2 linked regions of the Caenorhabditis elegans genome follow. The protein of the gene in region 2 interacts with the protein of the main gene of each other region in a biochemical or structural test. Each region holds a gene or a part of one and is shown on either strand. Other genes may lie near its edges.

Evidence for each region.
Region 1: of the proteins of oma-2 (region 2) and gsk-3, one has a biochemical effect on the other in vitro, tested with the Caenorhabditis elegans proteins (one study listed by BioGRID).

What each region holds. Positions count from the first base shown.
Region 1 is NC_003279.8:12,816,937-12,826,070, forward strand, and holds gsk-3 (Glycogen synthase kinase-3), read left to right. Parts: upstream 1-2,279; 5' UTR 2,280-2,425; coding exon 2,426-2,518; intron 2,519-3,598; coding exon 3,599-3,867; intron 3,868-4,713; coding exon 4,714-5,290; intron 5,291-7,182; exon of another isoform or gene 7,183-7,236; intron 7,237-7,579; coding exon 7,580-7,729; 3' UTR 7,730-8,666; downstream 8,667-9,134. Other genes in the region: nhx-8 (Sodium/hydrogen exchanger), read left to right, coding at 8,856-8,858.
Region 2 is NC_003283.11:8,027,227-8,032,385, forward strand, and holds oma-2 (CCCH-type zinc finger protein oma-2), read left to right. Parts: upstream 1-2,212; 5' UTR 2,213-2,282; coding exon 2,283-2,320; intron 2,321-2,368; coding exon 2,369-2,524; intron 2,525-2,572; coding exon 2,573-2,794; intron 2,795-2,838; coding exon 2,839-2,986; intron 2,987-3,031; coding exon 3,032-3,248; intron 3,249-3,293; coding exon 3,294-3,694; 3' UTR 3,695-3,988; downstream 3,989-5,159. Other genes in the region: F43H9.4 (Glycine N-acyltransferase-like protein), read left to right, coding at 538-679, 736-947, 1,063-1,171, 1,219-1,280, 1,329-1,491; vars-1 (valine--tRNA ligase), read left to right, coding at 4,230-4,318, 4,361-4,437, 4,484-4,605, 4,651-5,159. UniProt on the Caenorhabditis elegans protein: Zinc-finger RNA-binding protein that binds to 5'-UA[AU]-3' motifs in the 3'-UTR of maternal mRNAs to suppress translation in oocytes and embryos.

The DNA of each region.
Region 1 (9,134 bases), on a different chromosome or scaffold from region 2:
GATATAATTTCCGGCAAATCGGCAAATTGCCGGAATTGAAAATTTCTGGCAAATCGGCAAACCGGCAATTTACCGATAATTTCCGATGTACCGAAAAAACGGCAATTGCCGAAAATTTTTGGAAAATTGCGGATTCGCACATTTTTTTTGGAAATTTCAGAATTTAAATTTTAATCGGCAAAATTGTTCCCATTCTGTGAATGTTCCTATATCTATTTTGAACAGTAAGCAAATTCTATGAAAATACTTAAAGAAAACGGGAAAAAATTTCAAAACGGCACATTTCCGGCAAACGGCAAATCGGCAAATTACCGAGAATGAAAAATTCCGGCAAATCCGCAAACCGGCAAGTTCGCAAAAAAAATTGCCAAATTTCCGTCCACCCTTAATTGGACATTCCCGACATTGCCGAATTTCAACATTTCCGATACAAAAATAAATATAAAATCAGTATAGAATGAAAATAGAAACCATGGGAACATTGAATATGCTTATTTCCACATTGATAGCGCATTTCTTCTTCTTCTTTTTTCTTTTTCATTTCCTTTTTCTTCTCCATCTCACCATATTTTTGCCCATTTCCTCCATCAGACACGCGCTCGCGCTCACTCGCTCACCACACTCAATTTTAGCTGTTTTTCCTTCTTTTCCACCCCCTCATATTGACTGACACATATATATTATATATATATATATATATAAAGATACATATATGCAAATTGATGTTCGGCAAATTGACATTGTGCAATTTGCCGAACATGAAAATTTCCGGCAAACTGGCAAACCGGCAGTTTCCCGGAAAACAATTTTCCGAACGACAATTGCCAGTTTTCCGGTATATATATTTATATATTCCCTATTACGATCAATATAGAATCCTGTTTAGCCAAAATCTTTTTTGATTTTTCCCAAGGAACAACATTTTAAAAAAATACGTACCTTTTTATTGCCACGAAATTTAATTGGAAAAAATCAATTTTGAAATAAAATGTATTTTTGTATTTATATAAAAAGCAATTCTATTTATTTTTAAAACGTGTTGGATTAGTTTTTTAAAATAAAAAAAACAACACCGAAATTTAGTCATTTTTCGTTCAATCGTTAGTGAGAAGCGGTGAGTTTTGGCGATTTTGAGCATTTTCCGTTGAAAATATGAGTAATTTCCTATTAAACTGGTTATTTCGATCGCGCTAGTGAAATTTCTTGAAATTGTGTAGCAAAATGGGCTTACATGCTATTTTAAGATGAGCAATTGAAGCATTTTATTTTGATTCAGTCAGAATTTTGAAATACTTACGAAAATAGCAATTATATCAATTCCAAATCAAAAAATATGGTACTTATGGGTTTCGTTCCCCCCAAAATGATTTCCATATTTTCTAATTGATACGTGAACTTTTTTTTCATTCCCAGGCTTAGGGAAATGATTTTCTAAGCCTTGTAAAAATGAAAACAGTATTAAAATAAACAATAACGTGTGGATTAAAATTAAAAAGGTAGTGTTGAATAATTAAAAATCATTTTGGGGGGAACGAAACCCATAAGTACCAAAAATATAGTTTCTTCTAGAAATATATTTTTTATTGCCGCTAAATTTAGAAAAATTCAATTTCGAATGAATATGTATTTATTTATTTTGAAAAAAACGTACATTAAAACGTGTCGGATTAGATTTTACTTCCCTTTTTTTAATTTTAAAATTCAAAAAATTCATTTCTATATTTAAAAATTTGGCAGTTTTGGCGTTTCCCTTTTATTACAGTGAGTTAGCCAACTTTTTCGAGCTAATAACATTACATTAAGCTTTAGAAAAAACTTTAGAAGTTTTGAGAAATACTACTTTTAAAACTTCGATTTTTTCAATTTTTGGCTAAATTCTATTCTAGTTTGAATATCCTCCAAAATGAGAGCTCCCCTACGACTATTTTGGATTTTTTGAAGCGAATCCTAAAAAAATGGGCTGAAAATGCCAAAAATCGTCTAATTTCCAGTAAAGTTTTTTGGCGAAATCCATATTTAACAGCTCTTTAATAGTCCTACAAATTCGACAAATTGCCGATTCGTCGGAAATTGGCCGGTTTACCGATTTGCCAGAAAAAGTCGTTTGCCGCCCACCCCTGTTCCCACTTTGGCTAGGAATTCCTAAAAGTTTATCGAATTTTGAAATGTTACTCCATTTCACCTCATATTTGCCTTAAATATCACCCATTTTTATACGTTTCCTCGTATTTTTCAAACCCAACGCCCAAATGAAATATTTTATTATTTTTTATTTTCAGGTGAATAGCCTCATTCTCTCCGTTTTCCCTCTCAAAAAACCACATCATATCCTCATCATCTAATCTCTGGCTCTTCTCATTTATTGGACAGAGCTCATATATACACACACACACACAAGAATCAAATCAATCAGTAGTGTGGTGTGATGAATAAGCAGTTACTATCGTGCTCGCTGAAAAGCGGAAAACAAGTGACGATGGTCGTCGCGTCAGTCGCCACGGATGGTGTTGATCAGCAGGTTGGTTTTGAGTGAGGAAATTTTAATTTTCTCGGAGAAATTTGGATGAAAAGAAGTTGGATATCAGAGGTGGGCGGGTATTTTTTTCGGATATTTTCTAATAATGAATTTATCAATAAGTATTGATGTAGTTATTCTGGAAAAAATGTATCCGAACAAAAGAGTAACTATTAAGCAACATTTTAATATGATAAAACCTAAAAAAATTCTACAAGTTTTCTGTATAAACGATATGCAAGTCCATTATCCGATATCCGTAATATCCGTAATATCCGATTGCTTAATAGTTACTCTTTTGTTCGGATACATTTCTTCCAGAATAACTACATCAATACTTATTGATAAATTCATTATTAGAAAATATCCGAAAAAATATCCGCCCACCTCTGGTGGAAATGCATGAAAATGAGGATTTTCACAAAAAAAAACTCTTTGGAAGTGATACAAATATATTTTTCGATATTTAGTACAACACAATAAATGAGTTATTACGTGTTTATCCACAGATAAGAAAAATCGCCATATCTGCCGCGCAAATGAACCCGCGGGAAGAGACAAAACTACTGTAGTTTTTAACCAATTTGTGTAGATTTACGAGCTATTGCGTCATCGTTGAATTTAATTTTGAGCCGCAATTTTTAATTTTCAGGCGTGTTTCACTCTTTTTTATATTGAAATTTATCTATTTATTGAATAAATCTTAAAAGAAAACACAAAAAAATTAGAAAAACGCCTGCAAATTAAATTCAACGATGACGCAATAGCTCGTAAATCTACACAAATTGGTTAAAAACTACAGTAGTTTTATCTCTTCCCGCGGGTTCATTTGCGCGGCAGATATGGCGATTTTTCTCATCTGTGGATAAACACGTAATAAATAGGTTGACAAAATTGTTCTCCTTTTCCTCGTGGAGTACACGATTTTACTCAAGCACTTAAAATATCAATTTCTTCAAAAAAAAAAAAAGGAAATTTGCTGGAAAACTAGCTGATAAAATGTGAAAAAATTATTATTAAAAAATCTCCAAACGAAAAAAAACACTGTAATTCAAATTTTAATTAAAAAAAAATGTATTGTAGGTTGAAATCTCGTACTACGATCAGAAAGTGATTGGAAATGGATCATTCGGAGTGGTATTCCTTGCCAAACTCTCTACAACAAATGAAATGGTTGCAATCAAGAAAGTTCTTCAGGACAAACGATTCAAGAATCGTGAACTACAGATTATGCGAAAATTGAATCATCCAAATATCGTGAAGCTCAAATACTTTTTCTATTCGAGCGGCGAGAAGAAGGATGAACTCTACTTGAATTTGATTCTCGAATATGTTCCTGAAACTGTCTACAGGTTATTTTTATTAGGATTTTTAAAAATTTCTGGAAAATTTCAGTTTTTAGCGGAATTTTTTTGTTCAAAAATAAAGAGAATTTCTTATTTAAAAATTGAAAAAAAAAATTTTTTTGGAAATTTTTAAATAAAAATTGCGAATTTCTTTTTTAAAGATATTTTTAAAAATTTTGAAAAACAATAGTAGAAATTCAATAAAAAGCTGAATTTTTATGTTTTTTTTTGTGAAAAACTGTTTAAAAATGATGTTAATGTAAATTTTTAAAGGAAATAATCAAAAAATGCCTGATTTTTTTAACCTTTTTTGTTAATTTCTGACAAAAATTCATGGAAATTTGATTTTCCGTCGATTTTGTGAAATTTTGGTTCGAAAATTGAATTTTTTCGCTAAATTTTGATTTTTTAAGATAAAAATTGATTTTTCCCGAATTCCAGCGCTACAGGGCGATTTCAAGCAGATTTCTTTGCAACATTTTTGACTAAAATGCACTATTTCACGAATTTCCTCCTGAAATTTATGTAAAAAGCTATTTAAAAGTTCAAAAATGCGTTCCAAACGTATAGAAAGGCTACAAACTACATGGCTGATAGCTTGGAATTTAGAAAATACGATTTTAAAACAAAAAAACTTGAAATTTTGCAAAATTCTTTACAAAATTGAAAATATTCTATTTTTTTATAATTTTGAATTTTCAAGTTGAAAACCTAGAAATTTTTTTTTGACAATTTTTGACTAAAATTTATGGAAAAAATTATGTAAAAATTGAAAAAATTTAGAAAAATCGATTTTTAAACAAAAAAACTTGATGTTTTGCGAAATTTATTTGAAATTTTTAATTTTTGCAGAGTTGCCCGGCACTATTCGAAGCAGCGACAACAAATTCCAATGATTTATGTCAAATTGTACATGTATCAGCTTCTCCGTTCATTGGCCTACATTCATAGCATTGGAATCTGTCACCGTGACATTAAGCCTCAGAATTTGCTCATTGACCCGGAAAGCGGAGTGCTTAAGCTCTGTGATTTTGGATCTGCCAAATATTTGGTTCGCAATGAGCCAAACGTCTCGTACATTTGCTCGCGATATTATCGTGCTCCGGAGCTCATTTTCGGCGCTACAAACTACACGAACTCGATTGACGTTTGGTCGGCTGGAACTGTAATGGCAGAGCTTCTTCTCGGCCAACCAATTTTCCCTGGTGACTCTGGAGTTGATCAACTCGTTGAAATTATTAAAGTTCTTGGAACACCGACTCGTGAACAAATTCAAAGTATGAATCCGAACTACAAGGAATTCAAATTTCCACAGATAAAGGCACATCCATGGAATAAGGTATTCCGTGTACACACGCCTGCTGAAGCGATTGATCTCATTTCGAAGATTATCGAGTATACGCCGACGTCTCGGCCAACACCTCAAGCGGTGAGTTTTTTGGGGGTTTTTGTAGAAAAAAGGCCGAAAAATGAATTAAAAATGTTTTCCCAACACTAAATTGCTGAAAATCGACTCTTTTTTCAACTAAAAACCTTTTAAATTGAAAAAAATTGATTTTTTGTCATTGAAAACTTGAGAAAATTGCCCAAAAGTTTAAAAAATACTGCGAAATTCAGGAATTTTAATCATTTTGGCTATTTTACAATTTTATGAGAAAAATCTCTAAAAATTAATGGAAGTTTGAATTTTTCGACTTTTTATCGAGATAATTAAAATGGCGAAAATTGCACAAAAAATGTCAAAAACTGATTTCCGGTAGTTTTTAACGTTTAAAAACACTTGAAAATGGAAAAACAAAACTTATATTAAAATTGTGTCAAAAAATTATTGAAATTGTCTAAAAATGGACTTTTTTTTTGTTTTTCGGTTTTGAAAGCGAATGTTCTGTAATTTTATTCTCAAAAAATGCGAATTTTTGCTCACAAAAGTTATTATGGAACACAAAATCCTTAAAAAAACATATTCGATGCGCAAAATATATCGTAGCGAAAACTACAGTAACCTTTTAAAGGACTACTGTAGCGCTGCGCTTGTGTCGATTTACGGGCTCGATTTTTATTCTGCATTTATTAATCAAAAAATGAGACAATAATACGAAGAAACGAAGGAAAATATAGAATAGATTCATATCGAAAATCAATCCCGTAAATCGCCACACGGAGCTATAGTACCCATTTAAAGGGTTACTGTAGTTTTCGCAATGAGATATTTTGCGCGTCAATTATGATGTGTAATACGCATTCTTCTCAGAATTTTCGGTTCCCGTAATATGAATGAAAAAAAAAGAGAAAGTTGAGTGTGATTTTTGAGACATTAGACAGTTGACTGAAAATTTATTTAAAAAATTTCGGCCATTCGGTCAGCTTATTTTTCCTCCATTTTGAAAATTGCAGATTTTGCAGATTTTCGATCGCTCAAAAAAAAAGCAGCCAGTTTGAAACGAAATTCAATGATTTTATCTGTATTTTTCCAAAAAAAAGTATCTTCATTGTTCACAAATTCGATCGCCCCCTCACAAAACCGCTTAGAAAGTCCACCCCGTTCGTTGGTTGCTTTTGAAAATCGCCTTAATATCTATCGTTGAAATCTTTGTTTCCTCATTGTAATTCTCCCATAGATCAAGCCATTTCCCGGTTTTTTTTCTTAGATTTCTCAAATTGGCACGAATATGGAAGATATTTATGGAAGCAGATGGGAGCATTAGATTTTTACACAAAAAAAATTGCAGAATTTTGGCTTTTTTTTCCAATTTTTGGAAAAAGATAACTTGTGAAACCGTGGTTTTTAATTTTGAAAAAAAAGCTATAAATTCAAAGTTAGTGAAATCTGAAATAGACATAAAAATTGAAAATCCCACTGAAATTTCAACTTGAATTTAACAAAATTTCAGCTAAAACTTGGAAAGAAATGTTTCTTGGAATTTTTATAGAACTCGCTGACAAGCAGTGAGCAGTAAAAAACTCGGCTCACAATTTATCCGTACTTTTATTTTTTGAAACTAGTAACTAAATGTCAACTGCAAGAATATTAGAGGCCATACTACAAATGAGATTTCCAGAAAATTATGATGTTCTCGTAATTTTAAAGATGGAGACATTTACGTGGTATGATGGTTGAAAATTAGAAAATTGGCTTGAAAACACTTTTAAATTTAGAAAAACCACAAAAAACGAGCAAAATCGAGAAAAATGAACAATTCAACTTTCGAAAACACGATTTTCCCTATTGTGACTAACTAGTATATTTTAAATTTCCATTTTGAATTTCCTCCAAAACGAGAACTTCCCGACCAATCAGCGATTCGTCCTGCCCACTTTTCAACCAATCAGATGAAGTGGGCGGAGTTCGATGTCGTTGATTGATCGATTGGGGAGTTTGCATTTTGGAGGGAATTGTCTGCGTTTTGATCTACAAAAAATGCGGGAATTTTTTCCCAGAAAAATTGTAACGTCTGCACGCTTTTAACCATGTGAAATCAGTTGAGATGTTTGCGTCTCATCTCCCGCATTTTTCGTAGATCAAATCAAAATGGGACTTTCTGACTCCACGTGGATTCAAACATGGGGAATTTGGAACTCACAATGGACAAAAATATCGATTTTGCTCGTTTTTCTGAATTTGAGACTGTATTTTGAAATTTTTGAGAGACAAAATCGCCCCCAATTCACGCTACTTTAACAATTCAACCAATATATATATGTTTTTCGTCTTTTTCAGGCCTGCCAGCACGCATTCTTTGATGAGCTCCGAAACCCGGATGCACGTCTTCCATCTGGTCGACCTCTTCCAACACTTGAGATGGACGGTCCAATGGGAACTGGTGAAGTTTCAACGACAAGCGGTGATGTGGCTGGCCCATCGGCTTAAACTTCTTTTTTTTATTTTAATATTGGTTCTGAATTTTCTCTCGAATGTTTCTTTTTTTTTCATTTTCCGTGGGATTTTTCTTTTCCATTGATTTTATACATCCATCCTCTCCTCTCTCTCTGTCTCTCTCTCTCTCCATACCTATCATCATTAAGAAAAAAATTATTATTTTTTCTTTTGAGCCCTCCCCCCCCCACCCCCCTCCATCGCCCGTATCGTCTCCATAGCAACTGTGTTGTAGAAGCATTTCCCCCCAACTCGATTGTCTGCTGCTCTTCTTTTATTTTATTTTATTGTCCCCTCAAGCTTTTTTGTCTCGAAAAACTTGAATTTTTACTCTTTTTTTTTTACCCCACCTGGCTCCCCCCTGGATTTTTCTGTGAAAATTTGGCTAAAAATTAGGTTTTCAAGGTTCCTGAAATTTTGGCTGAAAATTGGGTTTTAGGCCAAAAATTTTGGGTTTTTTAAACCTTTGGCCTAATTTTTGAGGCCCAATTTTTTAGGACTTCATCTAGGCCCAAAGGCCTGAAAAAATCCGCGACTTCTGTACATTTCCTCCCCCTCCGCCGCCGTTTTCTTTTGTAATCCCGATTTTGTGTTCCCACGCTCTCCTCTAAAGAAATTTCTAGCCAAAAATGAATTGAAAACTGCTCTCTCTCTCCCCCATATTTTCTGTCTTTTTTTCTTTTCTTTTTTTTGCTCTGTAAGTGTCTCCCCACAACGCCAATGTCCCTGTTTTTGTGGAAATTTTTTATATATTTTTTGGAAATATAGTATTTGTCCCCCCAATTCATTACATTTTAAAAATATTTTATTTTTCCCCACTCTACCACCACCACCAACTGAAATTTCACACACCATCCAAATTCTCTCCGTCTCTCTCTCTCTCTCTCATTTTATTTTCATTTTTTTTCCTGGAAATAAAAGTGGATCGATTTTTCTGAAGATTTTCGAGATAATGATCATCCCCCCGCGCGCGCATCTCCGAATAATGCCTCTTCTTTGGACATTAAACAGTCATTTATTTGTCCGATGCGCCTTTGAAGAGACGAGAAGCTTCCTTGTTAATATTTTTCATTTTGAACCGCTGGCGCTGAAATTTACTATACATTGCTACTGAACATAAATGGTGAGGCTGTGGTGGTTTTGTAGTTTGTAGTCTTTGTGACTACAAACTACGAAAATTACTTTTTTTTTCCGCTTGGAATTGGCTTTAAAATGAAAGTTTTTTTAGTTTTTGAAAATTGGAAATTTTTTTAAATTTTAGATTTTCAGAGCGAAATCGACGATTTTTTTTTCGAAAACCGGGATTTTTATGAAATTTTGCTATTTTTGCGCAAAAAATACGGTACCGGGTCTCGACACGACAATTTTTTGTCGAATACGAACAGGTGTGCGCCTTTAA
Region 2 (5,159 bases):
AAAATAGGGAGAAGAATACTGTAGATATATAAAATTTCTACAAAATTTAAATTCTTTTTACCAAAACCCAAAAATTTTCGAAAACGAACGAGTTACTGTACGAAGTTTGTATATATGCCCGCATAAACCTAGATAAGTAAGGTTAGAAAGCAACTTGAAATTTTCAATGTAGAGAATGTATTTGACTTGCCAACAACTTTGCCATTTCCTCCCGTTTCAAACTACAAAAACATGAACTTTCAATACATGGGACAATTACTTTATAAGTAGGTACACGCGACCCTAAACTTTGTTCACTTTGAAAAAAAAGTGAATTCCGTTTTAAATGTCCATGGCTGACTACATTTTTCCGTATCTTCACTCATGTTTTTCCGATTCGACCGTAATATTTGATAAGATCAAACATTTCCATGACAATCCATTCCTAAACCAGTTTTTCTTCATTTTCAAAAACATTTTTCAGTATCACTAAAGACCTTTTCCCACCTTTTGCTATCTCTTTTTTTCAATTCGAAATTGACCTTCGCACCTTTTCAGAGACCGTCAAATTCTGACACACGATGGAAAGTTTCGAGAAGAAGACTTTCTGGCGGTTTTTGATGAATTCTGTAAAACAAATGGATTGTTTGCTGGCTCCAATGCTCCATCAACTGTAGCCGAGAAATGTTACACTAAAGCGGTAATACACAATGAAAACAGAACAAAGGTTAATAGATAAGAAACGTTTGATTTTAGATTGAAAAGTACATGAAGAAAAACAATATTAATGCAGAGGTGCAAAACAAATCAACACACTTTTTTGCAATGAATGAAAGTCAAATTTTCAAATATAGAAATTATGGTGATACAACATTACCTGATGGATACTCAATTGATATACCTGAATCAACAAATGATGTTATGAAGATTGTAGGATCATCTATCACACCAAATGCAAAATTAGTAGAGTGAGTTTTTGGATCAGGAAATTAAAAACCAACAGTACTAGATTTATATCATTTTCTCACAAAATCGAGAAATCGTAAAACAACAGTTACATGGAAAAATAGGAATTTTTTTCAGAGAAAAACTTCGACGGTTCCCATCGCTCTGCGTTCGTAAAGGCGACGAACTTGTTGGATTCATTTCTTCAGAAACTCACGGAGCACTTGCTCATTTGCATGTCTTTGATGTGAGTTTTACTATTTTCAAATTGAATATTTTCAAATCTGTTTTTAGGGGCATCGTGGTAAAAATCTTGGAGAGAAGTTGGAGATTGGAGCTGCTAAAATGGCTATTGAGTGAGTGATTTTTTGACAAAGGACTGTGGAAAAATGATAATATTTTAGAAATGGAATGCGTCCATGCAAGTTCATCGACACAACAAACAGTTTCTTCTTGGAAAAAGCAAAAAAGTCAAAGTTGATGGATGTTGTTGAGTCCAATGGAACACCGCTAGTTTTCGACCAAAATGTTTATTCCCAGGCGTCAAATTATGGAATGCACAAGTGATTTTAATAGGAATACAATGAACTTACAATAAATCAAATATACATGTAAATATTGAATAAAAATTCGAATACCTTCCAGCAAGTATATTTGCAAAGTAATGTTCTTTTACAGCTAGATTTTGGTCAGACAGTGTTGTTGAAAATTTTTTAGTCGAGAAAATCTAGTTATTCGCTGTTTATGAGTTACTTTTTCAGACAATTACACAATTTCCATGCTTGCTAAAAAAAAATTATTAGTTACAGTAACCTTTAAAGGCGCAGCAGCGGGGAGTGCACATCTCAAACGAGTGTGACCGTAGTCATTGGTGAAAATTGGCAACATTTTCTTGCAAGTTTTTTGACTTTGATTCAACCATAAATTTCAGACTTAATTCTAAACTTAAGTATTAAAAAATAATTATTTGATCTTATTTAGCGCGCATTGCCGCCAAACATTGACTTTTTGTTTCGAAATTTTGGGACAGAGATGGTTTTCTTCAGTTTTCTTTTGTTCAACAACATTTGGTTCTGTTCATTCATTTATTTCATTCAGAAGGATTTTGGCCCGTTTATTTGAATTTTAAAAGAGCTTATTTCTGAATTACGTCGCTTAAAACAATAATTTTATACCGTTTTGGCGCATTCGTTTTTTCTCGTTAAAAACTTATTTCTTTCATTCTTTAGACGGTTGTTATTCATTGCTCGCGGAATCTTACCATTTTTAAAATTTCTTTAAATTTCAGGGAATCAATTAACCGAGCACCCCACGCCTAATCACTAACCACCCATTTCCCCTGCACTACTAACGAAATAATGGATATGCTCAAGGAAAATGTTATCCAGAATAATGAGTGAGCCACTTTTATCATAGTTTCTCAATTTTAATTTTCTTTTTTAAGGGCTCGTACAGAGTCGAGTGTTGAACCATCGCATCCCGATATGATGGAGACTGTTCCGGAAGAACAGCAAAAACCGATTTCTCATATCGACGATTTGCTTTCCGAGACCGCTAACCTGATGGCTGTCAAGGAGCAGCTTCTCAAGGAGATTGCTGAGTAATTCTATAGGATAAATGGACTGTTTCTTAAATTTTATCTTCTCAGAAACGAGCATATTCATTCGATGCAAATGAGAGCTCTTCAAAATCTTCCACAGGAAGCTATTCTCCCACTGCAATATCATGCTGATCCAAGACGCCGTCACCGAATGCAAAAACCGGAATCGTACAAGACTGTCATATGTCAGGCTTGGTTGGAGTCGAAGACATGTGCTTTCGCGGAGAACTGTCGTTTTGCTCACGGCGAAGAGGAGCTTCGTCCATCTCTGTTGGTTTGAACATTGAATTAAGATTACACAACATATTTTACAGGATCGAGGCACGTCAAAACAATAAGTACCGGACGAAGCTCTGCGATAAGTACACTACTACTGGGTTGTGCCCATATGGAAAACGCTGTCTTTTCATTCATCCGGACAATGGACCAAATGCATACATTCGAGCCGATAAATTGTTCGAGGTAAGATAACTTTTTAATTTTCCACTTTAATCAAATCTTCAACAGGTTTCGCAACGTCATGCTTTGGCCGACCTTCGCGATCAAATGGAGCATCATATCATGAATGGAGGTCGTTCTACAGCCGGCCCTCAACAATTTGATATGTTTGCAAGGCCATGCACACCAGATGAGCCAGCAGCAAATATGCCATTGGGTCCAACCCCAGTTAGCATTCGTGGACCACGATACGAGTTGCCATCGAAGAAGCCACTTGAGACTGAGGGTATGAAAATTGAATATTGATGATTAATTCAAAATAATTTTACAGAAGCCGGGAATCGCCCACCATCAAGCTGGCCGTTGGATCCATCAACTTTCTTCGCATTGGATAGTCTGAATATGGCAACTCGTCCAATCAGTCCGTTTGAGTCTATGCTTATTGGAGCAGCCGGGAACATGCAATACTCTATGCTTGGAAAACAATCAACACCGGGAGGAGTTTCGGGATATTCTTCCTCTGGATCAACTCCGTCTCAAGATAGTGATTCGTCTCCACTCACAGCTGCTTCTGCTGCTGCAGATGCTGCCTGCCAAGCCAACTCGGAGTCTGCTCAGTCTATTCTTCTGAAGTCTATCAACAATCCGATGATTGGAAACGAGACAACTCTTCCAATTCCTGGACTTGATCAACTTGCCATGGACATTGCCAAGCACCTTGAATTGTGGTGAATAACCACCTCCTTCCCCATCTATTTATACATTTTGTCAAATTGCCATACGTTTTTATGTCCCATACTAACTATAATAACGCGCGCAATTTGTAAATATAATAAGCTCAATGTTCCTGTCATATAGAAAGCACGCTCGCTCCCCCCATCTCTCGCAGGCTCTGAAACTAAACTTGAATTATTTTGCTGCATTTTATTATATCGGATATCATTGCATGTATTTTCAATTCCCTCCAAATATAAATTGCTCGTATCCTCTCCCCACACTAACAATCAATAAACTTTATCGAATGTCAATCAATGTTTTTGAAGACCATCTGGAAATAACGTTTTTTCACGAAGATATCTGATTTTCAATTATAGAATTGCAAAATAATTTCTGAAATGTTTCGTTTGACAAAAAAATATTTTTTAATCTTCCCTCCAATTAGTTTCGCGACAGGGCGCATTTGCTTCGTCCAGACGAGCGTTAATTTTTCAACAGATTGAGCGCATTCTTTCTTTTAAATTATTGTTTGTGGTTTCAGGTGAAATAAATGGGTAAATTGAATCGATTAGCACTTTTTCATCGTTCAAGAAGGCAATGTGCTTACTCACCGACAATTATTACACGTGAAAGTAGTAGGTAAACGATAAACTAAGAAAATAAAATAACTAATTTTTTCAGCTCCTTTAACATCGACGAGGTAACACAAAATTTTGAACAAAGAACAGAGTTTGCCGCTGCAAATTATCGAAAGAATGGTCAGATTTCCTTGATAATAGTTCTAGGCAAAAAAATATTTTTCAGGCAGTCTATTTCGTATGGTTTTACCCCCGCCAAACGTAACTGGTAAACTGCATTTGGGACATGCTCTAACAGTTGCAGTGGAAGATGCTATTTGTCGACACCAGAGAAATCAGGGAAATAAAGTAAAATTTCACGAAAAATTAAGATGCTTATTTTTATGTTTTCAGGCCGAATGGATTCCTGGATTTGATCACGCAGGAATCGCCACACAAGTAGTCGTGGAAAAAATATTGGCAAAAAATGGAAAGCGACGACTTGAGATGACACGCGAAGAGTTTGTGAAAGAATGCCATTTGTGGGGTGAAAAATGCTCATCTGAAATTCGACAGCAATTGACTCGAATGGGAGCTTCTCTCGACTGGACTCAATCATATTATACTCTCGATTCAAAATTTTCCGAAGCCGTCACAAAAGCTTTTTGCATTCTTGAGCAAGAAGATTTGATTACACGTGGCAAACGATTAGTTCATTGGTGTCCAACACTATCATCTACATTATCGAGTCAAGAAGTAAATCGAATTGATGTTCCATCTGATGGTTACATCAATTTATCGTCGTCAAGTGGAACACGGAGAAGAGTGAAGTTCGGTCAAATGCATGTAATTAGATACAATCTGGTAGATTCTGAATCTGAATTCATTGAAGTTGGAACAACTCGCCCAGAAACTTTGTTCGC